4 linked regions of the Saccharomyces cerevisiae S288C genome follow. The gene in region 1 interacts genetically with each later gene. Each region holds a gene or a part of one and is shown in the gene's direction. Other genes may lie near its edges. The genes, in order: OAC1, YMR316C-A, ANS1 and ITR2.

What was found.
Region 2: mutations in OAC1 (region 1) and YMR316C-A together harm fitness more than expected from each alone (negative genetic interaction), as found in Saccharomyces cerevisiae (one large-scale study listed by BioGRID).
Region 3: mutations in OAC1 (region 1) and ANS1 together harm fitness more than expected from each alone (negative genetic interaction), as found in Saccharomyces cerevisiae (one large-scale study listed by BioGRID).
Region 4: mutations in OAC1 (region 1) and ITR2 together harm fitness more than expected from each alone (negative genetic interaction), as found in Saccharomyces cerevisiae (one large-scale study listed by BioGRID).

Annotation. Positions count from the first base shown.
Region 1 is NC_001143.9:215,005-223,992, forward strand, and holds OAC1 (Oac1p), read left to right. Parts: upstream 1-2,339; coding exon 2,340-3,314; downstream 3,315-8,988. Other genes in the region: DGR2 (Dgr2p), read left to right, coding at 1-1,696; VPH2 (Vph2p), read right to left, coding at 3,566-4,213; Hsp90 cochaperone SBA1, read left to right, coding at 5,320-5,970; serine/threonine protein kinase PRR1, read right to left, coding at 6,340-7,896; DNA-(apurinic or apyrimidinic site) lyase APN1, read right to left, coding at 8,348-8,988. UniProt on the Saccharomyces cerevisiae protein: Antiporter that exchanges dicarboxylates and sulfur oxoanions across the inner membrane of mitochondria. Exports alpha-isopropylmalate from mitochondrial matrix to the cytosol, where it serves as a precursor for leucine biosynthesis.
Region 2 is NC_001145.3:901,663-910,033, reverse strand, and holds YMR316C-A (uncharacterized protein), read left to right. Parts: upstream 1-4,060; coding exon 4,061-4,372; downstream 4,373-8,371. Other genes in the region: YMR317W (uncharacterized protein), read right to left, coding at 1-2,670; DIA1 (Dia1p), read right to left, coding at 4,199-5,209; YMR315W-A (uncharacterized protein), read right to left, coding at 5,641-5,748; YMR315W (uncharacterized protein), read right to left, coding at 6,185-7,234; PRE5 (proteasome core particle subunit alpha 6), read right to left, coding at 7,621-8,325.
Region 3 is NC_001140.6:357,512-365,732, reverse strand, and holds ANS1 (Ans1p), read left to right. Parts: upstream 1-5,551; coding exon 5,552-6,031; downstream 6,032-8,221. Other genes in the region: YHR131C (uncharacterized protein), read left to right, coding at 1-393; YHR130C (uncharacterized protein), read left to right, coding at 433-768; ARP1 (actin-related protein 1), read left to right, coding at 1,580-2,734; FUR1 (uracil phosphoribosyltransferase), read right to left, coding at 2,968-3,618; YHR127W (uncharacterized protein), read right to left, coding at 4,089-4,820; YHR125W (uncharacterized protein), read right to left, coding at 6,570-6,875; transcription factor NDT80, read right to left, coding at 7,289-8,221.
Region 4 is NC_001147.6:120,057-126,475, forward strand, and holds ITR2 (myo-inositol transporter ITR2), read left to right. Parts: upstream 1-3,944; coding exon 3,945-5,774; downstream 5,775-6,419. Other genes in the region: TPT1 (tRNA 2'-phosphotransferase), read right to left, coding at 5,941-6,419.

The DNA of each region.
Region 1 (8,988 bases):
GTCCAAAAATGGATTTCTAATAACAGCATCAATGGACAAAACTGCAAAACTATGGCACCCTGAGAGGAAATACTCATTGAAAACTTTTGTTCACCCAGATTTTGTTACATCCGCAATATTTTTTCCCAATGATGATCGTTTCATAATTACCGGATGCTTAGATCACAGGTGTAGACTGTGGTCTATACTGGACAATGAGGTTTCTTATGCCTTTGATTGCAAAGATTTGATAACATCCCTAACATTATCTCCTCCTGGTGGGGAATATACAATTATCGGTACATTCAATGGATACATTTATGTTTTACTGACACATGGATTAAAATTTGTATCTTCATTCCATGTATCTGATAAAAGCACTCAAGGAACCACTAAGAATAGCTTTCATCCATCTTCCGAATATGGAAAGGTCCAACACGGCCCTCGAATCACGGGTTTACAATGCTTCTTTTCTAAGGTGGACAAAAATTTAAGATTGATAGTTACGACAAATGATTCAAAAATTCAAATCTTTGATTTAAATGAAAAAAAACCTTTAGAGCTTTTTAAAGGATTCCAAAGTGGTTCCTCACGTCATAGAGGCCAATTCCTAATGATGAAAAATGAACCTGTAGTTTTCACGGGAAGTGATGATCATTGGTTTTATACCTGGAAAATGCAGTCCTTTAATCTTTCAGCAGAAATGAATTGCACTGCTCCGCATAGAAAGAAACGGCTGAGCGGCAGTATGAGTTTAAAAGGGCTGTTGAGAATTGTATCTAATAAGAGTACGAATGATGAATGTTTGACAGAAACGTCAAACCAAAGCAGCTCACACACATTTACCAACTCATCAAAAAATGTTCTTCAAACTCAAACTGTTGGTTCTCAAGCTATCAAAAACAATCATTATATATCATTTCATGCCCATAACTCCCCTGTCACATGTGCTTCCATTGCTCCCGACGTTGCAATTAAAAATTTGTCCTTGTCAAACGATTTGATTTTCGAACTGACTTCACAGTACTTCAAAGAAATGGGCCAAAATTATTCAGAATCTAAGGAAACATGTGATAACAAACCTAATCACCCAGTTACAGAAACAGGAGGATTCAGCTCAAACCTATCGAACGTTGTGAATAATGTTGGAACCATTCTAATAACAACAGACAGTCAAGGTCTAATCCGTGTTTTCAGAACTGATATCTTACCGGAAATACGAAAAAAAATAATAGAAAAGTTCCATGAATACAATTTATTCCACCTCGAAGCTGCTGGTAAAATCAACAACCACAACAATGACAGCATATTGGAAAATAGAATGGATGAAAGAAGTTCCACAGAGGATAATGAGTTTAGCACAACCCCACCATCTAACACGCACAATAGTAGGCCAAGCCACGATTTTTGTGAGCTGCATCCTAATAATAGCCCGGTGATTTCCGGCATGCCATCAAGAGCTAGTGCTATTTTCAAGAATTCGATCTTTAATAAATCCAATGGAAGTTTTATATCCCTAAAGTCAAGAAGTGAAAGTACGAGCTCCACGGTGTTTGGACCGCATGATATTCCGAGAGTTTCTACCACTTATCCGAAGTTGAAATGTGACGTCTGCAATGGATCTAATTTTGAATGTGCTTCCAAAAACCCCATTGCTGGCGGTGATAGCGGTTTCACGTGTGCTGATTGTGGTACAATCCTCAATAATTTCAGATAGAGAATCAGAAAGTAAGAGGAAAAACTATCTGTTCCACCGTCTTTAGATCATAAGCATGTCTGCAAATAACATAGTATTATTATTTATATCTGTAGCGATCTTTATTATTTTTCATTACTGACACATTTTCTCACAGAACCATCTACAACCCGAAAGATGCCGGAAACGGTCTTAGGCCGATGGGGTCTATTAGGGCCTACAGAGACGTCAATTGGGCTATAAGAAAAATGAAATCGAGGAAAGATTTTCCACTCTCAAATTAAGTAGGGCAAAAATATGCTTTTGTTCGCATGTGGTGTTATTCCAGTTGCGAGTCAGGGTCTGCCGATATGCTAAAGGAGGTCACGAAAACGAATCTGGCATTTAATACCTCATTAAGTTACAGCGGAATCGGCCTTCTGTTGCGGAAAAAAAAAAAAAAAAGAAAACGAACATTAAGCACCGCTGAAATTTCAAGCTGTGACTAAGTCGTCAAATGATAAATACTGCATATATATAAACTATGTGATTATATGCAACATTAAGATATACTTTCTTCTTCCATAATGCCCCCACTCCAGAACTCCATCCGAAATAGTTTTCCTTAGATTGCTATAGCAAGTCAGACACAAGCACATCTCATCGAATTATATCGTAAGCAAATATGTCATCTGACAACTCTAAACAAGATAAACAAATTGAAAAAACAGCCGCCCAGAAGATATCGAAGTTTGGTTCGTTTGTGGCTGGTGGGCTAGCAGCATGTATAGCTGTTACAGTTACTAATCCGATCGAATTGATTAAAATCAGAATGCAGCTTCAAGGTGAAATGTCAGCATCAGCTGCAAAAGTTTATAAAAATCCAATCCAAGGTATGGCGGTAATTTTCAAAAACGAAGGTATAAAAGGTCTGCAAAAAGGGTTAAATGCTGCTTATATCTATCAAATTGGGCTAAATGGTTCCAGATTAGGGTTTTATGAGCCAATCAGATCATCATTAAATCAGCTTTTCTTCCCAGATCAAGAGCCACATAAGGTACAGAGCGTCGGAGTTAACGTCTTTTCTGGTGCCGCATCTGGTATAATTGGTGCAGTCATTGGCTCTCCATTATTCTTGGTGAAAACAAGACTTCAATCATATTCCGAGTTTATAAAAATTGGTGAACAAACGCACTACACCGGTGTTTGGAACGGGTTAGTAACCATTTTTAAAACCGAAGGTGTTAAGGGTCTATTCAGAGGTATTGATGCGGCAATTTTAAGGACAGGTGCTGGTTCCTCTGTTCAACTACCTATCTACAACACAGCAAAGAACATTTTGGTCAAAAATGATCTGATGAAAGATGGCCCAGCATTACATTTAACTGCTAGTACTATCTCTGGGTTAGGTGTTGCCGTCGTTATGAACCCATGGGATGTCATTTTGACAAGAATCTATAATCAAAAAGGTGACTTGTACAAGGGACCTATAGATTGTTTGGTCAAAACTGTTAGAATCGAAGGTGTAACCGCTTTGTATAAGGGTTTTGCAGCTCAAGTGTTCAGAATCGCACCTCATACAATCATGTGTTTGACCTTCATGGAACAGACAATGAAACTAGTTTATTCGATAGAGTCGAGAGTTTTAGGCCATAATTAATTCCCATAACAAACTCCGAGGTTTGAAGTTTCATTCATTGGCCAGGACAGTTCTACTTTACTAATGGTTTCATTACAACCTTTTTCTTCATATTATGTAGCATTAAGGATAATAGAGCATTTTTTATTTCACATTCATACACGATAGTTTTATAAACGTAATTATAAACATACAGAACATTATTCACAATTGTCCAGTTCCAAGAATTATATGCTCTCGGATCTCGGAGTTCTTATTTATAAAATGATCAGTTACAGTGTAATCTTGCTTAGAACTTTCTTTTTCTCAACCTTTGTTTTTTCTTTTACTTTTGCTTCTTCGAGTTTTTTCAGATAGCTGTTATACACAACCACATCTGCTACTAAGACCAATATTCCAAAGAACAAGCACAACAAAAGACGAACATGGACCGGAAAGTTTGTTGAAGATCCGGTCCAGTACCAAATGGCCACAACAACCGATATGACACTTACAAGAACGTTGAAAACAGTGGTAACTTGTTCCTTAATCTGTTTATTAATTTGTGAAGGCGTGAGTTCATCGTCTTCTTGAAGTGAAAAGACAGACTTGCTTCTCTTGACCATACTTTGATATTCAAGTTCTTGTTCCTGATATTTCAAAAACTCTAATTTTTTCTTGAAATCCTCTGAATAGTGTAAACCTCTGACGGCCTTGGGCTTGAATTCGAACTCCAAAGGTTTCAAAAGTTCTTTGATAGAGCATTGGAGATCACTGTCTTTTCTATACTCTTTCACATAAAAAAGAAGTGACTGCATAGGTATTGCGTGTCGCTTCAGGAACAAATCAATGTCCTCATCAATTCCTTCGTTTGATTTCGCGCTATTCTTGAACTTTCGCAGAAATTCAGTTATTCTATCATTCAGTTTAATTTCGAACATTAGAGTTCTTTTATGTGATGCCAATCGTCAATTATCCTATCTTACCTTTTCTTCATTTCTTTCAGCGTTTTCATGTGAGATTTGCTTTATTTTCGCTTCCTCGTTTCTCATTTTAAATATTCACACGTCCGTCATGTCTACTTTGAGTCAGTTAAATACACAAGATTTTTGTAAAACTGAGTATTTCGTGAACAATATAATTGTTCGGATTCAATCATAGTTAAAGACTATAGTATGAGATACACAGAATATCCTAAAAGTTCCCCTCGAGGGTATAGGAAACCTCAAAATGGAATCGGTCTTTCTACATGATAATATTACTCTAACTTCTTTTCTTCTATACTTTGCCATTCATTACCCTATCACGTTATCAATCCTTGCATTTCAGCTTCCATTAAGACCGATAACTGTTTCCCAATCTCTATGTCATCATCTTACACCGCTGTGATAATATTCTAGGAAGACGAATACTAGCCAATAGATGATACAAGGATTTCATTTCGACAGAAACAAAAAAAGCATGGAAAAACGAATGGAGACAAAGAGGAAGTTAAAGAAAGTTCATTTGTGACCTCATTTACTCAGAAGAATTTCGTAAATCGGTTGTTATAGAACTGTTTTATTGTTTAAAAGAGCTTGTTATAGTAATCTAAGTGGAAATACACTAACAGTAAATAGGGCGTGTGGCGTAGTCGGTAGCGCGCTCCCTTAGCATGGGAGAGGTCTCCGGTTCGATTCCGGACTCGTCCAATCTTTTTATACTTATTAATAATTTTTTTCCTGCCGTTACTTGCTTTTAAAATAACTGCCTTTTATGAATACAGAGTATAATTTTTGATATACAAAGAGGTTGACTGTGATAATCAATACTTAATTTGTGGTTATTGGTACACATATACCTACAAAAGTTACCAACAAACTGTTCGACTTTTAATGCTACCCGCCTTCCGAGTGTTTTTGAAGGGGCGGAGAGGAGCGGCAAGAATTAGCATGGAAAAAAGCATAAAAAGACGAAATGGGTGGCAATGTATTAACTTGTTCGAGAAACCTAGTGGACTCAATTCATTACAACAACAAGTTCCCAAGATCATCGATTCATAATAGTCATGTCCGATAAAGTTATTAACCCTCAAGTTGCATGGGCTCAAAGGTCTAGTACTACTGATCCAGAAAGAAATTATGTCTTAATAACTGTGTCAATTGCAGACTGTGATGCCCCTGAGTTAACCATTAAGCCATCATACATCGAATTAAAGGCTCAATCAAAGCCTCATGTTGGCGATGAAAATGTCCATCATTATCAATTACACATTGATCTATACAAGGAAATTATACCTGAAAAAACAATGCATAAGGTTGCTAATGGCCAGCACTACTTTTTGAAATTGTATAAAAAGGATTTAGAATCTGAATACTGGCCACGTTTGACAAAGGAAAAGGTGAAGTACCCTTACATCAAAACTGATTTCGATAAATGGGTTGATGAAGATGAACAAGACGAAGTTGAAGCTGAAGGTAATGATGCCGCTCAAGGAATGGATTTCAGCCAAATGATGGGAGGTGCTGGAGGTGCTGGAGGTGCTGGAGGCATGGACTTCAGCCAAATGATGGGAGGTGCTGGTGGCGCTGGTTCTCCAGATATGGCTCAATTGCAGCAATTATTGGCTCAAAGCGGTGGTAATTTGGACATGGGAGATTTCAAAGAAAACGATGAAGAAGATGAAGAAGAGGAAATAGAGCCGGAAGTGAAAGCTTAAAAGGAGGAGCAAATCAACCTGGAGTGCTAGAATGAGTAACTTAGAATAAAAGACGAATATATGCACTTTACACAACTCTTTACCTGTTTGTTATTGGCTGCCTCTATGTAATTAAATATTATGGAATTAATAAAAATATTTTTATTCGTAACTATCTTAGATATATATTGTACATTGTCAAAAAGACAGTAGTAAGCAGATAGAAGCTATATTGGATGCAAAATAGAGAAAAAAGCAGAAATATTATGTTGCAAATGTCAAGTAATGGAACTGTATGTGATATTTAAAGAACAATTTCTATATGCTGGATGATTATCAGGTGTAAGCAATAAGAAAGAAAACGAAAGTAACTCCCATCCGTGGGAAATTTCAAGAAAAACTTAGAGTATCAGCGATCGTTTTAACGAAGGGGGATTCGTAAATTTCATTAATCGACCAACGTTGGTTCTTCCTCGTTAGCGTATTTTCCACAATCTGTTTTCCCACATTAGTTTTATAATCGCTTAACCGGTACCATCTCCAATCAAACCTGGCAATACGATGTGACGTAGCTCTGCTACGCTGTCTTGCTGAAGCGTTTGGAGGAGGGTCAAATGGTAATCTGTCCTCAAACAAGCTGTATAGTATGACACCTAAGGCCCACGTGTCGCTTAAATGGCCATCGTAGGGAACTCCCATCAGGATTTCTGGTGAGACATAATCCTCTGATCCACATCTTGCTGTACACATCTCATTGTTCTCAATTTTTTTGCAGAGACCAAAATCTGCTAGCTCAATGAAATTTTGCTTGCAGTAAATGGGTGAGTCCCTAAAACTGTTGATATCATCAAAACTATATTTCAGTAGTATATTCTCTAATTTTAGGTCCCGATGAATAATACTGTTTTCGTGCAAATATTTTACTGCCAGTACTACTTCCGTAAAAATCCTTTGAATCAGCCACGCTTCTAGTCTTCCGTTACGGGCCATGACGGCAGCTAATAAGTCTCCTGCAGGACAATAAGACATAATCATATCACAAGGCGGCAGAGCTCTTGGAGTTTTTATAATCAAATCGCATAAAGGTTTTTTGCTAGTAACAAAAATTGGATTGTTTATCCCAAGTAGTTTAACTATACATGGGTGATTTAGTGATTTTAGCACCTGCAATTCCCTAGTCAGAGAATTTTCCAAACGGGATAAAGTTTCCTTATATCGTAACGATGTATTGATTTGTTCAACATTTGATAATTCCTCGGGATATTTGAGTCGTTTAACGGCCACTTGTTTCAGTTTAGGATTGCTTTGGTCCATGAGTTCATATAAAAGTACGGTACTAAAATTTCCTGAACCAATGGGCCTGACCTTTTTCCATAATAACGGGCGATCCCAGTGATCTAAAAGAAATCCCTGAAATATATCATCGTCACACTTTTCGGTAGAACTACTACTTTCGGGAAAATAAGGTTCTTTCGTGTAGTTATCACTATCAACAGAATCATTTACTAAAGCCTCTTCAGTCACTGTTGGTAAGGAAACAACCCTTTGGGGGGATAAATTAGCTGGTGCAATAAGTTCAGAAACAACTCTTTGGTTTGGTTGTGTAACAGAAAGCATATCATCCAGTAATCGTGCATGACTTCGTCTTTTGGGTATATTCAACGAGGATTGATCTATAGGTGACATTGACAGATTGCCTGGGGATAACGGAGTGTAGGTCATCGGTGTAGGTAATGCTTGGACATTTTCAAACGTCGGAATAGATACAGTCAAAGGTGTACTGCGAGAATCACCAGTGGTCCCTTCAGTGGATGCCATTTTTTTATCTTCCTCACCATTTTCATCAATCAATGCCTTTTCGTGTTGATCGCCAATGGAGTCGGGAAATCCTTCTTGTTTCAACCGAGGAGTCTTTGGTTGTGAATATATACTACTATATTCATCCATTGTCGGTATAACCTAACAGCTGCTGTGGGTATGGATGAATTCGAAGCGTAGATGTGATTACTATCTCAAAATATACTTGTCTAATTGTGTAAAAAAGAAAAAAAAGATAAAGAACACACCCCGCGTTGAAGATTACAAGTAAAAAACTTTCTATGCTTAGGAATAACGTTCCATAAGAGGATGGTGTGCTCAGCCTTCTTAGTTCATTTACTGGAATGTATTTAACTTTACCCTTTTCGTCTGCTAATCCATCAGTATGTGAAAAATGAAAATCTAAAAAAAAAAAAGGCTGCCTTATTCTGTAACGCAACGCGAAACATCTATAAACCAAGTAAGTAGTTTCTATGAAATGGGCAACAGCATCTTGGATGACGAAGGGTAGCATTTAGTTACGTACGTTGAGATAATCTACAAAAATTGATTACGTATTTAAAATTCTTCTCGCTTCTCATTATTCTTTCTTAGTCTTCCTCTTCTTTGTCATTTGTGACAAGATATCATTATCGCTTGGCTCTGCAGTGGCTTTCTTCCTCTTGGTGCCCCCAGCTCGCTTCTTTTGTTTAACCTCAAACTTGTCTAACTGTTCCTTACGCGATTTAGCACCTAATTTCTGCAGCGTATCATTTTTTTCTTTATACTCCTTGTCTTCTAACAATTCGCTCTCACTCTTTGATTCCAACCACTCCATAAGTTTGATTTCATTACCATAGCCTTCATCATTTTCGTATGGAGTTTCCAAGACAATAGGGATACCCTGCAGGTATTCAGAGTGCGCGATCATTCTAAACACATCTATACCCAAATAACCTTGACCCAAGCGTTCATGCAAATCTCTATTTGCTCCTAAAGGAGCCTTGGAATCATTTAAGTGAACAGCACTTAGATATTTGAACCCTATTACATCATTGAACTCTTTCCAAAAATTGTTAAACGTTTCAGTGGTGCTGATATCGTAGCCTGCTGCAAATGTATGGCATGTATCTATGCAAACGCCGATTCTTGATTTATCTTCAATCATTCCAATAACCTCCTTCAAATCTACCAGAGAACTTCCTACTAAATTTCCAGTACCAGCCATATTTTCTAATACAA
Region 2 (8,371 bases), on another chromosome or scaffold:
CGAACAACTTGTAACAGTTCCTATGGCAGTAGTCTCCCTACTTACGATTACTGTTTTGGTTATGTTGTAATTAGGAGTAGGGTTGCTGCAATTGACTGTTGAAGTTAAAGTTTCAATTTGTTTAGCAGTAGCTAGAACAGTTGAATTAAAGATATTTCTGGCATGAGCGGATGTTGAACTTAGGGAAGAAACAAATGTAGTTTTGTTAGGGAGTGATGTTGCAATTCTAGAGGCAGTTGAGGAATTTCCAGACCTGTCGATTCTGGGTGTGACCAGGATGGAGCTAGAGGTAGTTGATTTGCTTACAAGTTGTGCACTGGATGTTGAAGGAGCACTGAAAGTAGTTAAATTGTGGGCCGCTAATGAGGAAGTGACGTCGCCACTCGCTAATGGCACGCTGGAAATGCTTGAAGTGGATTCAGTAATGAAACTAGCTGTACTTGGCGAAGGTCTAGCAGAGGTAGAATTATTTATAAATGGGGCACTTGTGGTCATACTGGAAACGGTTGAAGGAGCCTCTGAAGTAACCAAAGTGGAAGTAGTTGGAGAGCTTTCAGGTGTCGAGAAACTATAACCTGCCAATGATGAGCTAACGACAGTTGAATTAATTGCGAGTGACGCACTACTGGTGGAAAAGCCGGGAGTTATCACCGAAGTATGAGAGCTCATGGAGCTAAATGTGCCTGTTGGAACGTTAGAAGCACTTGTAGCGTTGGATGTTGATAAAGAACGGGCAGTAGCTTTATTACTCAAAAGCGATGTACTAGATGTGGCCAAATTGGATTCGTTTGTAGTTTCAGAAGAAGTTATACTAGAGACAATTGATGAAACGACTGAGTTTTTTGTTTTGGTGACAATCAGCGAGGCACTTGCAATGGTGGAATTATTGTCAGATGGCGCACTGGAGCTAGCCAGGTTAGAGGAAATTGATGAAGCTTCCGAAGAGGTGATATCAGACCAGACCGATGGAAGTGGAGATGCGGTTAAACTGATAGACGCTGATGGAGAGGTTGTAACGGTAGAACTATTGCCGAATATTACACTAGACTTACTCAAGTCGGAGGAAGTAGATGAGGTTTTGGAAGTGGCCATTCTGGAATTACTTGACGAAACCTTAGATCCAAGTGTACTAGATGCGGCGGATGTTGTGGTAGAAACGGTCGAATTGTAACCCGTCGACAAAGAGCTTTCAATGATTGAATTGCTTGCTAATGTCTCACTAGAAGGTCTTAGGCTAGAAGTTACTGACGAAGCTTCTGTAGCAACCAAAGTAGAAGTAACTGATGTATTTTTAGAGCTAAACAGTCTAGAACTTGCTAAGCTGGAAATTGCCGATGGAGCTTCCGAACTCACTAGGCTAGACGTTGCCGATGAAACTTCTGAACTCATTACGCTAGATTTTGTTGACGAAATTTCCGAACTCACTGAGCTAGACGTTGACGATGGAGCTTCTGAACTCACTGAGCTAGATGTTGACGATGGAGCTTCTGAACTCACTGAGCTAGATGTTGACGATGGAGCTTCTGAACTCACTACGCTAGACGTTGCCAATGGAGCTTCCGAACTTACTGAGCTAGATGTTGTTGACGAAATTTCGGAACTCACTGAGCTAGATGTTGACGATGGAGCTTCTGAACTCACTACGCTAGACGTTGCCAATGGAGCTTCTGAACTTACTGAGCTAGATGTTGTTGACGAAATTTCGGAACTCACTGAGCTAGATGTTGACGATGGAGCTTCTGAACTCACTACGCTAGACGTTGACGATGGAGCTTCTGAACTCACTACGCTAGACGTTGCCAATGGAGCTTCCGAGCTCACTGAGCTAGACGTTGCCCATGAAGCTTCTGAACTAATTACGCTAGACGTTGCCGATGGAGCTTCTGAACTTACTGGGCTGGAAGTGATGGATAAAATTGTAGAGGAAAATGGTAGGGTTTCAGAAATAGTAGAGCTTGCGGGGCTGGAAGTACTTGATAGTAGGGAAGAAACATCGGACGTGCTTGAACTAAAAACTTCCTTTGAGGCATCGGAAGTAGTACCAACTGAAGTGACAGCCGATCCTGAGGAACTTATCTTTGGAGAAGATGAAACGTCAGTAAGCGTGGTAAATGTGGAGGATGTGACTGCAGTTGTATCAGAAGATGAAGCAGTAGTTTCAAGGACAGAGGACTTTCCCAATGGCTCCGAAGAGGAACCACCTCCATTTGATGAACTGGTTTGCGGGGAAGATGTTTGAATAGCACTACTACTTATGGAGTCAGTCTCTGTAGTGGAGCTGGACAGTTGTGCATTTGTGGAGGAAAGCGCACTGTATGAGTTTGAGGGGCCAGAGGTTGATGATTCGACATCGTTGACTGATGTACTAGAAATATCGGATGATGTGTAAGAAAGAGAAGAAAAAATGGAAACCAATGACTCCGATGATAGAATTGAGGCAATTGTATCAGAGGAGAGCGACGAGCTAGAAGTAAACTCGGGTACAACAGAAGAAACTAATGTGCTAGAACTACTGACAATAATTTCTGGGCTAGTTGTAACTTTAGTGCTTGTCGTGCTTGTCGTGCTAGTGGTAGTAGGCGTAGTTGTACTGGTTGTGCTACTAGTAGTAGTCGTGCTACTATGCGATGTGGTAGTGGCTGTGGTCGATTTTGAACCAGATGAACCCATTTTGATACGGCGCTACCCTTTCTTGTGGATACCTTTTCTATGACAGAATCATTGACAAATCTGAGGGAACAAAATTACCACAGGTGTGAGTGAGACTTTATATAAAATTAATATTTCATTTTTAGCTTTGTTCCACTTGAGAGGAACATGGGCAAAGATAGAGACTAAGAAAACATGTTTTCAGAACTTTACTGTTGACTGCTGAACAGTCTTAGCAAGATGCTTATTTTTACGTGAGTTCTAAGTCGCCGTGGACTGACACCTTCGCTAAATTCACAGGCAATGATCGCAAACGAGCTTCATGAAAAAAAGTTTATTTTGGATCAGATCTGCGCATGGTCCAGAAAATTCGCCTTAACGAAAGGTACACAATTTTGCATTAAATGTCAAAAAAAATAGAATATGCGATACAATTATACCTGAGATGAATTTAGTAAAGTAGGTGCAAAAGATGGTATAATACTTGAGCTACATCTGGGAAACTAAAGCACATTTTACGTTCAAAGCGAATAGTAAATTAGAGAGAACAGTTGCGCGTGGAAGGCACGGGCACCGCTAAATCTAAAGAAATTACATACTATTTCATTCTTGCTGTCATTTTTTCCTCATTAATCACCACTTTTAAGCAGGATATAAGAATAAAAAACTCGATTTGAATAAAAACTATGCTTTCCTTGGTACATACGTCCTTTTGAGTACATAAGTAATGTCAACTGTGTAGGAAAGAGGTGACGTCCTAGGCTCGGCTGTGTGATATTACTTTTTAGAACCTTTTTGATAGAGGCTAAATGGTAAGGAAAGTTAATTTTATTCGAATTTTGGGCCACCTCTCTTAGAAAGGATTACTGCTAACTTCATAGTGTCAGATCACTCGTGTTTGTTCTGAATAATGAGGCAGGCGGTATACGAAAGAAGATATCCTGCTTATTTGGCTCCTATTGTTCAATTAATTAATCGATTGGCCAACGACTTTCCTATCGTATAGAAGAAACTGTTTGAAAAAAGATGGCTTATCCAGGAAGGCGCCTGAACAAGTTCTTGCTTCCCACAGTAAAGAAAAATCAAAATGGCCGCCATAGCGGTGCAGGAAGGTCTTGCCTATCGAGGATATTGTTTTTACTCCAAAAGGAAAGAGGAAAGTTAACAAAATCAACTTTTCAAACGGAGAGTATAACACCCGGAAGTTAAAAACTGTGAGGAAGATAAAAAGAAATCTTCACGAAGTTTTTTCCATTTTGGTGATCTAATGAAGTCAGCTATCACTTTTTTGCGCTACGGGCTTTATGTGACGCAATAGCCCGTGCCACTTTAAACTTTTTTGTGCCTTGGCACCTTTGGCAGTATACGAAGAAGATCAATTAAACAAGAACGACGAGATCTCGGACAAGATATGACAGGGTTTAAAGTTTCTTCTTTTTTTTATATTCTGGCATTGTCCCGCTTTTTCAACGCAGGAAGGGAACGAGCTTGTGATAAGTTAAAAATTACAGTTACACATCTATACTGGTTTATTATACGCAAACTTTTGTTACATGAGGTTCATGTTCATGTTAGTCGTGTTTGCAACGTTTCTTTTATTTTGTCTCCTTGCCTCTTTCGCAATTTTTTTACGTTGTCTCTTCATGTACTCTATGTAATGTATGAGCAGGCTCTGACACCCGAGTTCTTCCGTCAATGGTGGGATATTATTCAATCCAAATGATCCTTGATCTGTGGAATACTCGCCAAGAATTAAGTGGCCCTCTTGAGCGACCCACCTAAAAAGAGATGTTTCAAATTCTCTAGTATAATGAGCTGCCACGAACCTCTGAACTTTTTGATCCTTTTGGTCGATGGACATCTTATTTTTAGCGGCTCTAATGACATCTTCATCCAAACGATTCACTTCATAATCTGCTAACAGAATTAATTTATAATGATCGTTGGTAACTACGGGCGAATAAGTGACATGCCACCTGAGATTTAAATTATTCACTTTAGTGTCCAAATCCCTGTGTCCTTCTCGGTGAGCCATTGCTAGTAAGTTGGGCTCCGTAGACGTAGTCCCTACGAAGCTGTAAGTTACGTTTGCTTGGCTGACATTTTTATATATGTCGTAAAGAGGCACTTTATACAATATTAATCCGTTGTTTGAGCAAACGATTTTTGCCACAGTATAAGGCGGAGGTTCGTCTGCCGTTCTTAAAATAAATTTGAAAATTTTATAATATGGGACATTGCCGACCACAGTATTGCTATGACCTCTTTTACCAAACGGTAGAGTGCAATTGATAATTTGGAATAATGGAATACCAATTGCATCTGGACTCAGCTCATTCGAATACTTTTTAGTGTTTTCAAAATTTTCAAGCGATTGCTGAGACGGAAACATGAAAAACCCATCCTCGCCGTTTATCTCGGCTATGGGCATTCTTCTTTCCCTATTAAAATGAAAGCACTCTGGGACACTTTTGCTATCGGACATTTCAATCTTCAATCTCTGCTCATCTTTAAGCCCATCTGCTGCTTTCTTAAGAAGGTATCTACTTATTGAACCCATAATCAGATTTTTCTTGAAAAACTTTTAATGGAAGCTTAGCACCTGCTTCGGTCTTCTTTATCTTGGCGAACTTTGCCAAATCTGTAGTTGTTTCAAATACTGTCATGTTGGCAGTCTTCTTTTTATATGCGTTCACGCCGATGGCCAAGCCTACAACATTTTCTCAAAAAGGGACCATTGTCCCTTGCTGCGCCAAAAAAAAGAAATAGGCGCATACGTTCCGTCATCTATCGCTCACAAAAAGTGGAACCGGTAGGATTTTATCACTGACACATACCGTTGTACTAAGAGAGCAATTAAGTCGACAACGCAATTGATATGCGCTCTTCGTTATCGAACCCTAGCGGTGTATTTTTCGGACAAACTTACTGTTCATTATGGCCGAATGCTTACCTAAAACGACACTTCTGGTCGTTTTCAACTCTCATGCTCTAAGCAATTAGGCTTTTGGGGCGAAGCGGACAAGCTCTTAAGGCCGTGAATAAAGAAAGGGAGATGAAAGGACGCCGTAGCAGCTGCAATAGCTTTCTTTCGGTCATCAAAAATCCCAGTGAATTCTTGGGGGACACTTGTGGGGTTGCATTACTCGAAATGCTTCGGACGAGTACCTGATTCGTTAAACATATATATATCTCATGGTGAATTGGAAACGGTTGTAGATCTTATATAGGAAAAGTCATTCATAACTAGTTCCATGCCGACTAAGTATTTCGTCCAGGCTCGGCGTTCTTGTTGAACGAATTTTCCCATAATCATCCAGATTTCCAAGAACCTCGCCTTCGTAACATTTTGCAACAACAAGTGGATGGAGAATTTTGGCTATTTTTAGTTCAAGAAAACTTAGAAATTTTTCAACGGTTTTTTATCTCGTTAGTATTATCATTCCAAAAGTATACTTATGTGGGTACATAGTTATAAATATATGAGGGAATCTATCTATTAAGGTTAAAAAAGCGTTACATCGTAAAACGGTAATCATGGCTGCTCAATTTTAACGTAGTCACCATTCTTGGCAGAAGATTTTAAAAACGCGTCCACACAAGCCAAATGGTGAAATGCAGTTCTGGGTGTGCCTAGGTATAAGGATTTGTCCTTCTTGCTGACAGCTTCGTGAAAATTCAAAAATTCAGCGTTGACGCCGAAACTTTCATCATTATCGACTTTAAAAATTTGTTCGTCACCGTTATCTTCAGCTGAACCCCCTAATTTGACTTTTACAACGGGGTCTTTTTTGTCTGATAAGTCAACGGTAACGGTACCATTCTTACCATAGACTTTCAAGAAAACCGACTTTTCGGTAGCACCAAAGGCAGACCCATAAGTAAAACTTCCGATAACCTCTTTATTTTTCAACTGGACAGTAGCAAAGACAATATCATCTGCACCGGAACGTTCACGCACCTGTCTCGTTAATGCAGAAACAGATCCAAATTCACCGAGTAGGGAAATAACGAGAGCTAATTGGTGGACACCACCATCAGATAGAAATCCGCCAATGTGCTCTGGTTTTTGTCTCCAGGTTGTGGTCAAATATTTATTTTGAGTAACAAATGGACCGGTAGAATTGTGGGTGAATGCTACTACAGGACCAATTTTCTCGATCTGCTCCTTTGCGATTTTAATACATGGTAAATATAACCAATTTTCAGCCACACCAACGGGCAATGGGGTGGATTCTGCTATCTTGACAATCTCCTTTGCTTGGTCTAAGTTGGCCGCAATTGGTTTTTCCAAAATAACTGGCTTACCTGCTTTAACTGCCTTCTCGACAATATCAGCATTAAATTGAGCAGGTAGCAAAGCGTCAATGTAGTCGACATGAGGGTCATTCAAAATTTCATCTAGATTGTCGTAAACCTTATTTTCAGGTATGTCAGCAACCTTTGCAAAATCCAAAGCTTTTGCCTTATGTCTGTTGAAGGCGGCAATGACTTTGAATTTGTCAGGAAATTCCTGGTAGGATGGGAGATGTCTATCTCTGGCAAAAATACCTGTACCAACTATACCGACGTTCAATGGGGACATTTTTGGCTATTACTTTACTTTTTGGAACCAAGAAGTGATTATGGGTCTATTCGATGTACAGAAACAAATAGGTTTGAGCGAGTTCGAAAGTTTATCCAGAATAAGTAGTTCTTTTTATAGACGAACACCTATGTATTGTGATACATAATCATGCTGAATTTTCAACAGGGGATAACTCCGTTTATTCCCCGGCGGAGGGCGGAATTAAGCGGGGTTATTAGTTGATTTGGAAGCCACGTCTTTTTTAATTTTGAATGAGAAGTGAGACTACGTACTAAGTTAATCTATTATTATCTTTATATGTAAAAAAACCCCGACCGTGGTGAAAGGCTTCTTTGGTCTTGCTTTGACAATTGCTTAGTGGAAACGATACTTTGTGTCCAGACCTAGATGTATTTAGCAACAGCTTCTCCATCGTAAATTGTAAAAGGCGTATCCTTACCCACGATGGCGATTGAAAGATTGTCTACAGTCAAGGATTCGTCCCTTAGAGACTGGCTGATAGCCTCGACGCCAGCTTTGATTAGTTCATCCGGGTTCCCGTCAATTTTTATAAACGTGTCTAAAGTTCTCTCTAGATAAGTCTTTGCCCCTTGGCTTCTTGCGCCAATAGCTGTACCATATAGTTCTGTGACATTTCCGGAAGGTTGGAATTCTAAAAGATGAGCACCGCTCTTGTCATACCCGATGATCAACAAACCAACACCGTAGGGTCTGCCCCCATAGGATTGTGTATTTTTCTGTGCTTTATCGCAAAGCAAATGACCTGCTCTCTCGACGGCAAGCTTTCTGTTAAAAACTAAGCTGGAGTAATTACACTGTTGTCTCAAATAATTACTTAAAACTCTAGCATCTGGAGCCAACCCGGCTAACGAGAGCCCCATGTGCTCGTCACATTTGATGATTTTTTTCTGGTATGATGACAATTCGTCTGCATTTCTTTTCAACGCTACTAAAACAGCATGAGTGTTCGAACGTAACCCCACAGTGACGCTCCCTTGTTTAATAGCTTCCAAGGCGTATTCCACTTGGAACAGACGGCCTGTAGGAGAAAAAGTGACTGTGTCCCCGTCGTAATTGTTCCTGAACATGTTTTGTAAATATATGAAGGCTTAGTTCAATGTATTCTTACCCACT
Region 3 (8,221 bases), on another chromosome or scaffold:
CTGAAGTGCATCAAACCATTTCTAGATAGTAACGACTGTTTGGGTAAGGTTATCTATATTCCAGTTTCGGGACCAACCTTTGAAACAAGTAATAAAATTCACTTTAGCAACCGCCAGAGCTTACAGAAGCAGAAGAATCATTTTTTAAAAGGCTTCATCGTGGGACCTACGGCGTTGATAGAACTTAATTGTAAAAATAAGAATGCAATTGTTGGAACAACAAAGGACGCTGAAGATCATGGGGAGGACGACGGTGACGGTGATGATGGTGAGGATGATGATGACGACGACGACGATGATGATGATGATGACGACGACGAAGACGACGACGATGATGATGATGATGATGATGACGACGACGATGACGATGATGATGGACAGATTACTGCATAAGCTGTGATGCAGTAATCTTGTTTTTGCAGAATTAATATCATGACTAAAAGTATATATATTATCATCGGATATATGCTACATGATGAGGAGTTTTTCTATTTCTTTTTTATTTCATTCTATACACTTTGGATCGTGTTTTTTCTTTTGCACTTGAGTTTCTTTTCAACATTATCATTCGGTATATTTCACGATTTTGACACCGATGTTTACATAAAAGTGGGTAATTATATTTTGCATTTTCTCGAATTGAGTAAAAATAGTAACCTTTTAAAGAATTCTTCAGAAATGTTAAAGCATTTCCGATTGGCATCATTGATGTATATGTACGTATATACTCAGATGATTTGCCCCTCGTTACTTGGCATCAGGAATTAGCAAGGGCTGTAAAAAATAAGTTTAAATATATATAAATGGTTGCGAACTAAGACAGTATTGTTTTCAACTATTACTTTGTCATTGACTAGTCTATACAAACTAATGATTTTCTACTAGGTCTTACTTCGATTTCTCGACACCGTACTCCAAGAGCTAAAGCTTTCAATACGTATGGATTGCTTCGTTGCTCAGAAAGGTTAACATTAATCATTTTAAGGTTTTTGTTTATAGACAGTACTTTATTTTCGCTTCATTTTTCCAGTTTATATTTCAATTTAACAAAGGCAATGCCTCTAATTTCAAACAAGCAACATAATACAGTATTTATTGATCAACGTTTGATTAGAAGTTGAATTTTGAATGGGTATCGTCTGGTAATTCCAAAGAATAAAAGAAATACCTGTTTTACCATGATAAACAGTGTTTATTATACCACGTTAAAAATCATTTCTTGAAGGTAACGCTTTCATCAACCTATAATAAGACTACAGAAAAAAGCTCATAAAAGAATGCTAAGTAGCATAATGTTCTGAACAAGAGCTCAAAGCAAAGGACACAGTACACCTGTGTGACGGTGAGTTTCCTATTGCCTTCTCTTTTTCCGTTTGTATTAATCTTTTCAAGAAAAAGTTCATTTCCAAAGTGGCCATTTTCGCGATGCACATCAATAATGATAAACACCTTTATTGAATAATAGCGAAGCAAATAGCAGATATTCCCAATAAAACAGCAAATTAATAAAAGGGCATAGACCAAGGAGTACATGCTAATGCTATACCACGAATTGAGGAATTAGAAAGAAAGTTAGCCAATGGACCAGCTAAGTGACAGCTATGCTTTGTACAATCAACCGGTAGTGATCGACAATGGTTCTGGGATCATAAAAGCAGGATTTAGTGGTGAGGAAAGGCCTAAAGCACTGGAATATTGTCTCGTAGGAAATACCAAATATGATAAAGTTATGCTCGAAGGTCTGCAAGGAGATACATTTATTGGAAACAATGCCCAAAAACTGCGTGGATTATTAAAATTACGATACCCCATAAAGCACGGCGTGGTGGAAGATTGGGATTCTATGGAACTAATATGGTCATATGTGTTAAATGAAGTCCTACAGTTGCAAAATATAGGTGAGCATCCTTTATTAATTACGGAAGCCCCGATGAATCCTTTGAAGAATAGAGAGCAGATGGCTCAAGTATTGTTCGAGACCTTTGACGTATCGGCTTTGTACGTTTCAAACCCTGCTGTTCTGTCATTATATGCTAGTGGGAGAACTACAGGTTGTGTAGTTGACTGTGGTGAAGGATACTGTAGCACTGTTCCCATATATGACGGCTTTGCATTACCTGCGTCTATGATGAGGATGGATATTGGAGGAGCAGATATCACAGAGCAGTTACAATTTCAACTACGGAAATCAGCTGGTGTTTCGTTGTTTTCCAGCAGTGAACGAGAGATTGTTCGCACGATGAAAGAGAAAGTTTGTTATTTGGCCAAGAATATTAAAAAGGAAGAGGAGAAATACTTACAAGGTACTCAAGATTTAATCTCGACATTCAAATTGCCCGACGGGAGGTGTATAGAGGTGGGGAATGATCGATATCGTGCTCCAGAAATATTATTTTCACCTCAAATCATCGGCTTAGGGTACGATGGATTATCTGATATGTGCATGCAATCTATTTGGAAAGTCGATCTGGATTTAAGGAAACCTTTACTGTCATCGATAATCCTAAGTGGCGGAACTACAACGCTTAAAGGCTTTGGAGACCGAATGCTATGGGATTTGGAGGCATTAACCAAAGGAACATCCAAGATAAAGATTATAGCCCCTTCAGAAAGAAAATATACTACATGGATTGGTGGTTCTATTTTAACGGGGTTATCTACCTTTCAAAGACTTTGGACCAAAAAGTCAGATTGGCTAGAGGACAGTACCCGTGTTTATTCGAACCTAATGTAAGAAACAGAGTCGTTAGATTTTTCAAGCATATTTGTTATAAATAGCCATTGATACGTTTATATTATTTTTACAAAAAAAGGTAATTAAACATGCATGAACAACAAAATTGATAGTAGAAGAGACGGCAACAAAGGTTTAAAACGAGAAAGGAAATTTAAAACAGTAGAAACCAAAAGTTGATATGCGGCTTCAGCCGTTCTGAACCTTCAAGATGGTGTTCGGGTGTGATTTATTTAAACACAGTAGTATCTGTCACCAAAGTCACCCAACCCTGGAACTAGATACTTGTTTTCATCTAGACCTCTGTCGAGGGCACCAGTAACAATTCTGACCTCTGGGAAGGCGGCATGGTATTTTTCAATCCCTTCCTTACTACAGATTAGGTTTAAGAAGTAAATTCTCTCTGGCTTAACACCTCTCTTAATCAAGACTTCTGTAGCCATGATAGCACTACCACCGGTGGCCAGCATTGGGTCTAATAGGAAGACATACCTTTCAGATATATCCTCTGGTAATTTTTCGTAGAATAACTTTGGTAAAGCAGTCTCCTCGTCCCTTTGAATTAAAATTTTACCGATACGCACAGACCTACAACAGTCTCTTAATCCTTGCTCCATCGATTCACCAGCTCTGACAATGGAAACACCACAGATTTTACCCATGAATGAGACACCTTCGAAGTTTTCGTTGGTGTCAGTTTCCACAATTTGCTTTTGCACAGGTAGATGGTTCAAACCTTCTTCAACCAACAATCTGATGATTCTATCGGAGTAGAAAATGAAATCAGGTCTAGTTGTATTCTTATTTCTGATGATGGTGTACAAACCCAGCAATTGGTTTGTTTGAGGTAGCAAGTAGACGTTCTTAAATGGTTCCGAAGACATTTTTTGCAGATTTCTAGGTTTGCTAACGAAAGACCCTTTGTTTGGATAATATATAAGATATGTAAGGTACAAGAATGGAGAAGCCAAAAAGAATAACGGGTTCATGGTTCAAGAAGAAATGAAGCTAGTATTGGAAGAGGATTCTTACCAATATATATATCTCTTTTGAGGCAGCTTTGAAAGAAGAAGTGAAAAAAAAAAAAATTTTGAAAAAAAAGACGGAAAGGGAAAAGTCCGCCGGAGATAATTACAACTGTCGATTTTTTATGCGATGAGATAAGCTTATAGAAAAACCGGCCTTTCTGTTATTGCAATGACCTGCTTTATAGTTTATGAAATAATTACATAGGTCGATTACTAGTAGAATGAGGTATTGTTATTAGGCAGTCATGAGAAAGCATGTCTTCAAAAAAATAGTTTGTGGCGGGGATTTTGCTGATTAAATACCTTGTGAGTGTCGTTGACAAACTCTAATACGACAAGTGGGACGATTCATCAGATGCAATCACCACTTGGATGCGCCTTCCATCAACTAGAGCGCCATGGAACAGTTTTCTTACCTTCTCCAAAGACTGTGTTGTAGGATATGCCAGACGGACCTTAGCGGTGGCAGATCCTGAAGGCAGGTCTCTAACCCTAATTTGAGCTATCTGCACCTGAGAAATGTTTTCCAGAACATTTTTCAAGTTTTCTTGGTTTACTCCCAAAGTTAGGTTGAATAGCATTAACAATTTATCTGAAGCATCTGAATTTGTAGATATCACAAGCTGGCTGCCACCTTGTATTTCTTCGCCAAAATGTTGTCGCTGCAATTTAATATTAGTGGTAAAATTCCGAGAGTTCTTGGCCCTGTTCATGCCGTTTGCTTTTTCGCTCTGCCAATCGGTTCCTCTGTGGGCATTGCCCCAGTCAGGACTGCTGTTTATGTCTTTGTGGGGCCTATTATTCTTTATTCCCTTTTTCCTATTTCTTTGGGAAACATTAGTTCTTTTATCGATAGCACCCTGTGCTTCTCTTAACAGTACACCGACGTCATTGCTGCTTACTAGCTTACCGTTGACAACGCTAAATCCTTCTTTAGTGTGTTCTACGGTTTTTTTTTTCGCTACGCCAACTTTTTTAATCTTGTCCATGGGAACCACTCTGTCTATTAAGCGTTTACTTTGAACATTTTTCTTGGAGGTTGTTCTATTTCTAGCCATTTTGTGCTCTGATAGATATTTCTGCCTGCTCCAATCTAAGACATTGTATATTTTGAGGTTACTATGATCTCTAATCAATTCACGGTGTGTATCTTCTAAAAAATCTATGGATGGACCTTTTTTTTTTTCGCGTTGGCCCTGAAAGTTCCCTTACCCGGTTGCTTTTCCTGACAAATTTCTGTAATGACAGTAAATGAGGATGAAAAGTAGACTTTGGATACAATATCACTGCAGATTCGGCAAACTGAGGTGTTGATGTAAGTTGTTCTCACCGTGAATACTACCTCATCAATATGTATTGGGTAAGTGCAGCTCTTTTTTCTACCGTAATATTTCTTTGTATGGTAAAGTCTCGAACACTTTTCCTTTCCTTTTTTTTTATATTTCTTTTTATGCTAACTAATTTTTCTCTCTTCGAAAATCCAAAAAGAAAGTTTCAGTCGTACCTGGTACCTTGAGTCGCGATTCTTCGTAGTACAAATTATAAATCTAGACCCCACTTTGATTACTTTTGATGCCAAACGTTTCTTTTGACCTCTTTCCTTTTTACTAGCATTTGTAAAAATATCCATGTTTTTGTAGCTCGAGGAATACTATATAAAGGTGAACCTCCTCCTCAAAAATAGCCAACATTAACTTCAATACTTCATGTAATTTAATTTTTATAATCTGTTCAGTCAGCATATAAAAAATATAGAACAGAATCAAACGAACATCATAATTAATCTACCATGAAGTGCACTTTAGTTTCCACATTGTTTGCCATCACCAATATTCTAGTTGCACATGCACAAGTAAGCAACTCCTCAGACACGTTGGACGTACAATTTGCGAATAGTACGAACTCGTACATAGAAGGAAAATTTAATTCGACTGATGAAGCCTTCAACAGCAGCGCATCTTGGTCCTTAGCAGCTCAGCAGAAAAAGATATCTAATGCAGCTGTATATGATGTGGGTGGTTGGAATGGCTCATTGTATCGTTCCAATAGAAGCGCTGTTGCAGATCATCAACCCGGCAAAAAGCAAGATGCCGCTATTTCACAGATCAGTGATGGTCAAATCCAAGCCACTGCGTCTGGACCTGAGACTACCGCTGCTACTACCCCAAGTAGTACCGCAAATGTCTCTGTCTATGAAGGTGCTGGTATGAAGGTTGAATCCAAGAACATGGGTTATATAGTTGGAGTAGCAGCGCTATTATTTTTATAATTTGGCCTCCAAATGTAAAAATTGTACAATTAAGGACAATAGTATTTTCATTTTATAAAAAATATGTACATGTTAGAATTTTATAAGCCGAAAAAGCAGTCATTTTACCAGTTGTTTTATTCTTATCAGATGTCATATTCATGAAAACATAACACTGGCCTACACATTACACTGATTTTGTTCTTTAGGACAAGAAGTTTTCCAGAAAGAGTTTGCTGTCATTCACCACCAGTATATTATCATATACAGTATAAGGAGATGACATGAGTCGTGAGAAGTAGTCAGCGAACTTTATGAGAGCTCAAATACAAGGATTGGTAAAGCAATAGTAAGAATTGAGTAAAATTATTACACAACAGTTGGGATTTCGTTGTTGTGAAAGGTTATAATATTAGGTTTTCAAAAATATATTAAAAGCCACCCTCGAAGATACAATAATTCCAAAAAGGGTATCGATACTTTTACACAATATTATTCTATTACACTACTAGTCCTTGCGTTTCAGCTTCCTTTATTTTTGATGACTTTTTTTCAATCTTTACGTAATGTTCTTACACACCATGTGATAATACACTACTAATGTGACTACTAGTTGACGGATGATGATGTTCCTTATTACAGCAGTGTCAAGCCAAATGCATACATCGTATATTAATGTGCGCCACGTTTGACGTTTAAGTGTCACTGTGCTATTATAGAATAAAGAAAATGTTAGCGAGTATTTCATACAGTACTGAAGCCGAATTGAAGATAATTGAACGTTGCTGTGATAATTATTCATAGAAATATTACAGAGGATCGTATTAAATGTTTGGCAACTACCAATCATTATTGCATTGATCATAATCAATAATGAATGACAAATATAAGATGGGGAAGAAGTAATGATAATATTATGTAGAAATATCGATTCCCTTTTGTGAACTTCAAGATCTCCGAAGAGAACTTCTAGTATACTCTGTATACATAATATTGTAACATTGATTAACAATTGAATCTCAAAATTATCAAATTATTCACCCAATCTTCATTATTCACCAAATATTCCCAACTATCAGTAGTTCTTCTGGCAACTAATAAAATACTTAACCTATTCTATGTAGATATGAAGGGAACTGATAACAAATAGTAAGCGGATTTAGCTCAGTTGGGAGAGCGCCAGACTGAAGAAAAAACTTCGGTCAAGTTATCTGGAGGTCCTGTGTTCGATCCACAGAATTCGCATATTTTTTTAACGATTTAAAATCATTAGTTTATTTAATACTTATAGAAACTATCTTCCTCAAACAATTCTTCCCTATTAAATATACCAGATGGTAGAGTACCGCTTGCAATCAACTTGACCCCTTTCGAATATACCCTATCTGCATTTTCTGCATCCATTTTTTGATAATAATTTTGAAACGAACCTGTTTCTAATATTCTTGAAAATGTCCTTGGCACATCCTCTTCCGTAGCTGGGAAAAGTGCAGTTTCCAAGTGAAAATTTTCTGCTGAGTTAGGTAGTATAGAGAAAGAAATATTTGAAAGGGAGAGTTCGTTACCATAGCTTGTTTTGCATTCAGAACGTGAGCCTATCTCTGGTCTTAGATAATTCTGTTCCATTGATTTCTTCTCTATTGTTATATCATAATTTTCATGAGGTAATTCATTGATTTTTTTGAATGCTAATGAGCCTACTTTGAAAATATTCTCATGTTCAAAAGAGCGTGCCGGTTTCAGTTCGATTTGCTTCATATTAACAGAAAAACTACTTGAGTAAACTAAATCCTCCTTTTCTAAACACCCTTCCATACCTCTTGAAGATGAACTCGGATATTTCAGAGAGGAATCTGGACATTGATTTTTCAAAGCACCCAGTTTGTTCTGGATATGTTCAAGAGTCTCCACCCTTTTATTTGGCCTGAAGAACGGATCCTCATTTTCCTTCGAAGCTTCCATTGGTGTGGATTGACGAGATTTGATAGGCGAGATGGAGGCCCCAGAGTTCGGTGCACCTAGCGCCACTTTGGATCGCCTTTTCGAAGGTCTTGCATTTAAGCAACTTTCATTTAACGGCTGCGCCATTGATGGCATTTTTCTTTTTGTGCTGTTTTGTGAGGAATTGACACTCGACGGTGTTCTCACAGTTATTCGCTGAGATGACGCATAGTTAGAAGGTGATCTTCCTCTAATAATAAGAGGAGGCGT
Region 4 (6,419 bases), on another chromosome or scaffold:
ATTTCATCTCATTTACTGATGAGACAACAAAATTCCGTTGGGTTTATCCATTACACGACCGTCGCGAGGACTCTATCCTCGATGTTTTTACTACGATACTAGCTTTTATTAAGAACCAGTTTCAGGCCAGTGTCTTGGTTATACAAATGGACCGTGGTTCTGAGTATACTAACAGAACTCTCCATAAATTCCTTGAAAAAAATGGTATAACTCCATGCTATACAACCACAGCGGATTCCCGAGCACATGGAGTCGCTGAACGGCTCAACCGTACCTTATTAGATGACTGCCGTACTCAACTGCAATGTAGTGGTTTACCGAACCATTTATGGTTCTCTGCAATCGAATTTTCTACTATTGTGAGAAATTCACTAGCTTCACCTAAAAGCAAAAAATCTGCAAGACAACATGCTGGCTTGGCAGGACTTGATATCAGTACTTTGTTACCTTTCGGTCAACCTGTTATCGTCAATGATCACAACCCTAACTCCAAAATACATCCTCGTGGCATCCCAGGCTACGCTCTACATCCGTCTCGAAACTCTTATGGATATATCATCTATCTTCCATCCTTAAAGAAGACAGTAGATACAACTAACTATGTTATTCTTCAGGGCAAGGAATCCAGATTAGATCAATTCAATTACGACGCACTCACTTTCGATGAAGACTTAAACCGTTTAACTGCTTCATATCAATCGTTCATTGCGTCAAATGAGATCCAACAATCCGATGATCTTAACATAGAATCTGACCATGACTTCCAATCTGACATCGAACTACATCCTGAGCAACCGAGAAATGTCCTTTCAAAAGCTGTGAGTCCAACCGATTCCACACCTCCGTCAACTCATACTGAAGATTCGAAACGTGTTTCTAAAACCAATATTCGCGCACCCAGAGAAGTTGACCCCAACATATCTGAATCTAATATTCTTCCATCAAAGAAGAGATCTAGCACCCCCCAAATTTCCAATATCGAGAGTACCGGTTCGGGTGGTATGCATAAATTAAATGTTCCTTTACTTGCTCCCATGTCCCAATCTAACACACATGAGTCGTCGCACGCCAGTAAATCTAAAGATTTCAGACACTCAGACTCGTACAGTGAAAATGAGACTAATCATACAAACGTACCAATATCCAGTACGGGTGGTACCAACAACAAAACTGTTCCGCAGATAAGTGACCAAGAGACTGAGAAAAGGATTATACACCGTTCACCTTCAATCGATGCTTCTCCACCGGAAAATAATTCATCGCACAATATTGTTCCTATCAAAACGCCAACTACTGTTTCTGAACAGAATACCGAGGAATCTATCATCGCTGATCTCCCACTCCCTGATCTACCTCCAGAATCTCCTACCGAATTCCCTGACCCATTTAAAGAACTCCCACCGATAAATTCTCATCAAACTAATTCCAGTTTGGGTGGTATTGGTGACTCTAATGCCTATACTACTATCAACAGTAAGAAAAGATCATTAGAAGATAATGAAACTGAAATTAAGGTATCACGAGACACATGGAATACTAAGAATATGCGTAGTTTAGAACCTCCGAGATCGAAGAAACGAATTCACCTGATTGCAGCTGTAAAAGCAGTAAAATCAATCAAACCAATACGGACAACCTTACGATACGATGAGGCAATCACCTATAATAAAGATATTAAAGAAAAAGAAAAATATATCGAGGCATACCACAAAGAAGTCAATCAACTGTTGAAGATGAAAACTTGGGACACTGACGAATATTATGACAGAAAAGAAATAGACCCTAAAAGAGTAATAAACTCAATGTTTATCTTCAACAAGAAACGTGACGGTACTCATAAAGCTAGATTTGTTGCAAGAGGTGATATTCAGCATCCTGACACTTACGACTCAGGCATGCAATCCAATACCGTACATCACTATGCATTAATGACATCCCTGTCACTTGCATTAGACAATAACTACTATATTACACAATTAGACATATCTTCGGCATATTTGTATGCAGACATCAAAGAAGAATTATACATAAGACCTCCACCACATTTAGGAATGAATGATAAGTTGATACGTTTGAAGAAATCACTTTATGGATTGAAACAAAGTGGAGCGAACTGGTACGAAACTATCAAATCATACCTGATAAAACAGTGTGGTATGGAAGAAGTTCGTGGATGGTCATGCGTATTTAAGAATAGTCAAGTAACAATATGTTTATTTGTTGACGACATGATTTTATTCAGCAAAGACTTAAATGCAAATAAGAAAATCATAACAACACTCAAGAAACAATACGATACAAAGATAATAAATCTGGGTGAAAGTGATAACGAAATTCAGTACGACATACTTGGCTTAGAAATCAAATATCAAAGAGGTAAATACATGAAATTAGGTATGGAAAACTCATTAACTGAGAAAATACCCAAATTAAACGTACCTTTGAATCCAAAAGGAAGAAAACTTAGCGCTCCAGGTCAACCAGGTCTTTATATAGACCAGGATGAACTAGAAATAGATGAAGATGAATACAAAGAGAAGGTACATGAAATGCAAAAGTTGATTGGTCTAGCTTCATATGTTGGATATAAATTTAGATTTGACTTACTATACTACATCAACACACTTGCTCAACATATACTATTCCCCTCTAGGCAAGTTTTAGACATGACATATGAGTTGATACAATTCATGTGGGACACTAGAGATAAACAACTGATATGGCACAAAAACAAACCTACCGAGCCAGATAATAAACTAGTCGCAATAAGTGATGCTTCGTATGGCAACCAACCGTATTATAAATCACAAATTGGCAACATATATTTACTTAATGGAAAGGTAATTGGAGGAAAGTCCACCAAGGCTTCATTAACATGTACTTCAACTACGGAAGCAGAAATACACGCGATAAGTGAATCTGTCCCATTATTAAATAATCTAAGTTACCTGATACAAGAACTTAACAAGAAACCAATTATTAAAGGCTTACTTACTGATAGTAGATCAACGATCAGTATAATTAAGTCTACAAATGAAGAGAAATTTAGAAACAGATTTTTTGGCACAAAGGCAATGAGACTTAGAGATGAAGTATCAGGTAATAATTTATACGTATACTACATCGAGACCAAGAAGAACATTGCTGATGTGATGACAAAACCTCTTCCGATAAAAACATTCAAACTATTAACAAACAAATGGATTCATTAGATCTATTACATTATGGGTGGTATGTTGGAATAAAAATCCACTATCGTCTATCAACTAATAGTTATATTATCAATATATTATCATATACGGTGTTAAGATGATGACATAAGTTATGAGAAGCTGTCATCGATGTTAGAGGAAGCTGAAACGCAAGGATTGATAATGTAATAGGATCAATGAATATAAACATATAAAACGGAATGAGGAATAATCGTAATATTAGTATGTAGAAATATAGATTCCATTTTGAGGATTCCTATATCCTCGAGGAGAACTTCTAGTATATTCTGTATACCTAATATTATAGCCTTTATCAACAATGGAATCCCAACAATTATCTCAACATTCACCCATTTCTCACCTTCAGCTCAAATCCTCATCCCGGAACCTTTTTTCTTATTTGTTCCCTCTTCTACTACAAGAGCTTTCAAATTGTAGTCAAAAACCCGCTTTACTAAAAAAACATCGCCAAAAAAATTTCCAAAATCGCTCGTCTTGCCACTAAAAGTATGCAAAATATTATGTGAAGCAAAGTTATTTCGTGTCTTCCGCCTAACAGAACGTAAGCAGTTGACCATACTTTAGTATAGAGTACGAAAAAACACAAAGAATACCTTAATAAAATAAACATTGTCGTTCGCTAGGAAAACGGTAACGAAAACAAAAAACTAAAAGAAGAAAAGAGGCAGGACGCAGTAAAAGCAAGAAAACTGCTTTTTTTTCATGGCTGAAATGAAGAATTCGACAGCTGCTAGTTCCAGATGGACGAAGAGTCGTCTCTCCCATTTCTTTCCCTCGTACACTAATAGCAGTGGTATGGGGGCCGCCTCAACTGATCAATCTTCTACGCAGGGAGAAGAACTGCACCATAGGAAGCACTGTGAAGAAGACAATGATGGTCAAAAACCGAAAAAGTCTCCCGTATCCACCTCTACAATGCAAATAAAATCTAGACAGGATGAGGACGAGGATGACGGTCGAATTGTCATTAAACCAGTTAACGATGAAGATGATACATCAGTGATTATAACTTTCAATCAGTCAATATCCCCTTTTATTATTACATTGACATTCGTTGCGTCCATTTCTGGGTTCATGTTTGGTTATGATACTGGTTACATATCGAGTGCGCTAATTTCTATCAATAGAGATTTAGACAACAAAGTTTTAACTTATGGAGAAAAAGAATTAATTACGGCCGCCACATCATTGGGCGCTTTGATTACAAGTGTGGGCGCTGGTACTGCTGCTGATGTGTTTGGAAGAAGACCATGTTTAATGTTCTCCAATCTGATGTTTTTGATCGGAGCAATTTTACAAATTACCGCGCACAAGTTTTGGCAAATGGCGGCCGGTAGACTGATTATGGGTTTCGGTGTCGGTATTGGTTCTTTGATTTCTCCTCTTTTTATTAGTGAAATTGCTCCTAAGATGATCAGGGGTAGGTTAACCGTTATAAATTCCCTATGGCTGACAGGTGGTCAATTGATTGCTTACGGTTGTGGTGCGGGCCTGAACCACGTCAAAAACGGTTGGAGAATCTTAGTTGGTTTGTCCTTGATACCTACTGTTTTGCAGTTTTCTTTTTTCTGTTTTTTGCCGGATACACCAAGATACTACGTAATGAAAGGCGATTTAAAGAGAGCAAAAATGGTTCTCAAACGAAGTTACGTAAACACTGAAGATGAAATAATTGATCAAAAAGTTGAAGAATTATCTAGCTTAAATCAATCGATACCAGGAAAAAATCCAATAACAAAATTCTGGAATATGGTCAAGGAATTGCACACTGTGCCTTCAAATTTCAGAGCTTTGATTATTGGTTGTGGTCTACAAGCCATTCAACAATTCACAGGTTGGAATTCCTTAATGTATTTCTCCGGTACAATATTTGAAACTGTTGGATTCAAAAATTCTTCTGCCGTTTCTATTATTGTCTCAGGTACTAATTTTGTGTTCACATTAATAGCATTTTTCTGTATTGATAAAATCGGCCGTAGGTACATTTTACTGATTGGACTACCTGGTATGACTGTGGCGCTGGTTATATGTGCTATAGCGTTCCATTTCCTAGGTATTAAGTTTAACGGTGCTGATGCAGTAGTGGCATCTGATGGATTTTCATCTTGGGGCATTGTCATTATCGTATTTATTATTGTGTATGCAGCCTTTTATGCCCTCGGTATCGGCACTGTTCCATGGCAACAATCGGAATTATTTCCACAAAACGTCAGAGGTGTAGGGACATCCTACGCTACTGCCACCAATTGGGCAGGTTCTTTAGTCATTGCGTCTACGTTCTTGACTATGTTACAAAATATTACACCAACGGGTACATTTTCATTCTTTGCCGGTGTAGCATGTTTATCAACCATTTTTTGTTACTTTTGTTATCCAGAACTATCAGGATTGGAGTTAGAGGAAGTTCAAACAATTTTAAAGGACGGATTCAATATCAAAGCCTCTAAAGCTCTAGCTAAAAAGAGGAAACAACAGGTGGCCGAAGGTGCTGCCCATCATAAACTCAAATTCGAACCTACACAGGAAATTGTAGAAAGTTAGACTGCTACACCAACAAAAAATAAAAGATAAAGAACAAAAAAGAAGGAAGAAAGCTATAAAAGGGAGACAATTCATTTCATCTAATCTTAAAAGTTTTTATTTAAATATATAAGTAAGAGCGAAGTATTTAAAAATAAAAATTCATAAAAGTTGAGCTTGATGAAAGTTATATCTTTTCGAGCGGTATGTTTCTTTCGTGTAAAATTCTTCTTAAAGTATCTAACTTCTCCTCATCTTTCAAGTTTCCTTTAACTACAACTTTTTGGATCAATTCAACGGGAATACTGCTGCTTAAGTAAACATTATTGAGCGACCTGAACATTTTCAAAGTTTGAAAGAATAATGGAGAATGGCAGTCGATGAAAATATAGACGTTACTTGAAGAACGCATTCCACTAATAACTCCCTTCGCGTGCAACATCCCCGGCGATAAATGGACATGATTTCTACTCATTGGTGATATTGCTCCGGATTCAATAATCTTTATGACAGATTGAAGATTTGTTCCATGAATTAGTTCCTGTGGTAACTGCGACGCTTCAGTAATTGGTACGAGAACCTCATCTGATGGCTGAATCGATTTGATTGAATGTCCCTGAGTAGCACAGATCCATTCTTCGTCCGCTCCTAACGTTTTTATATGAA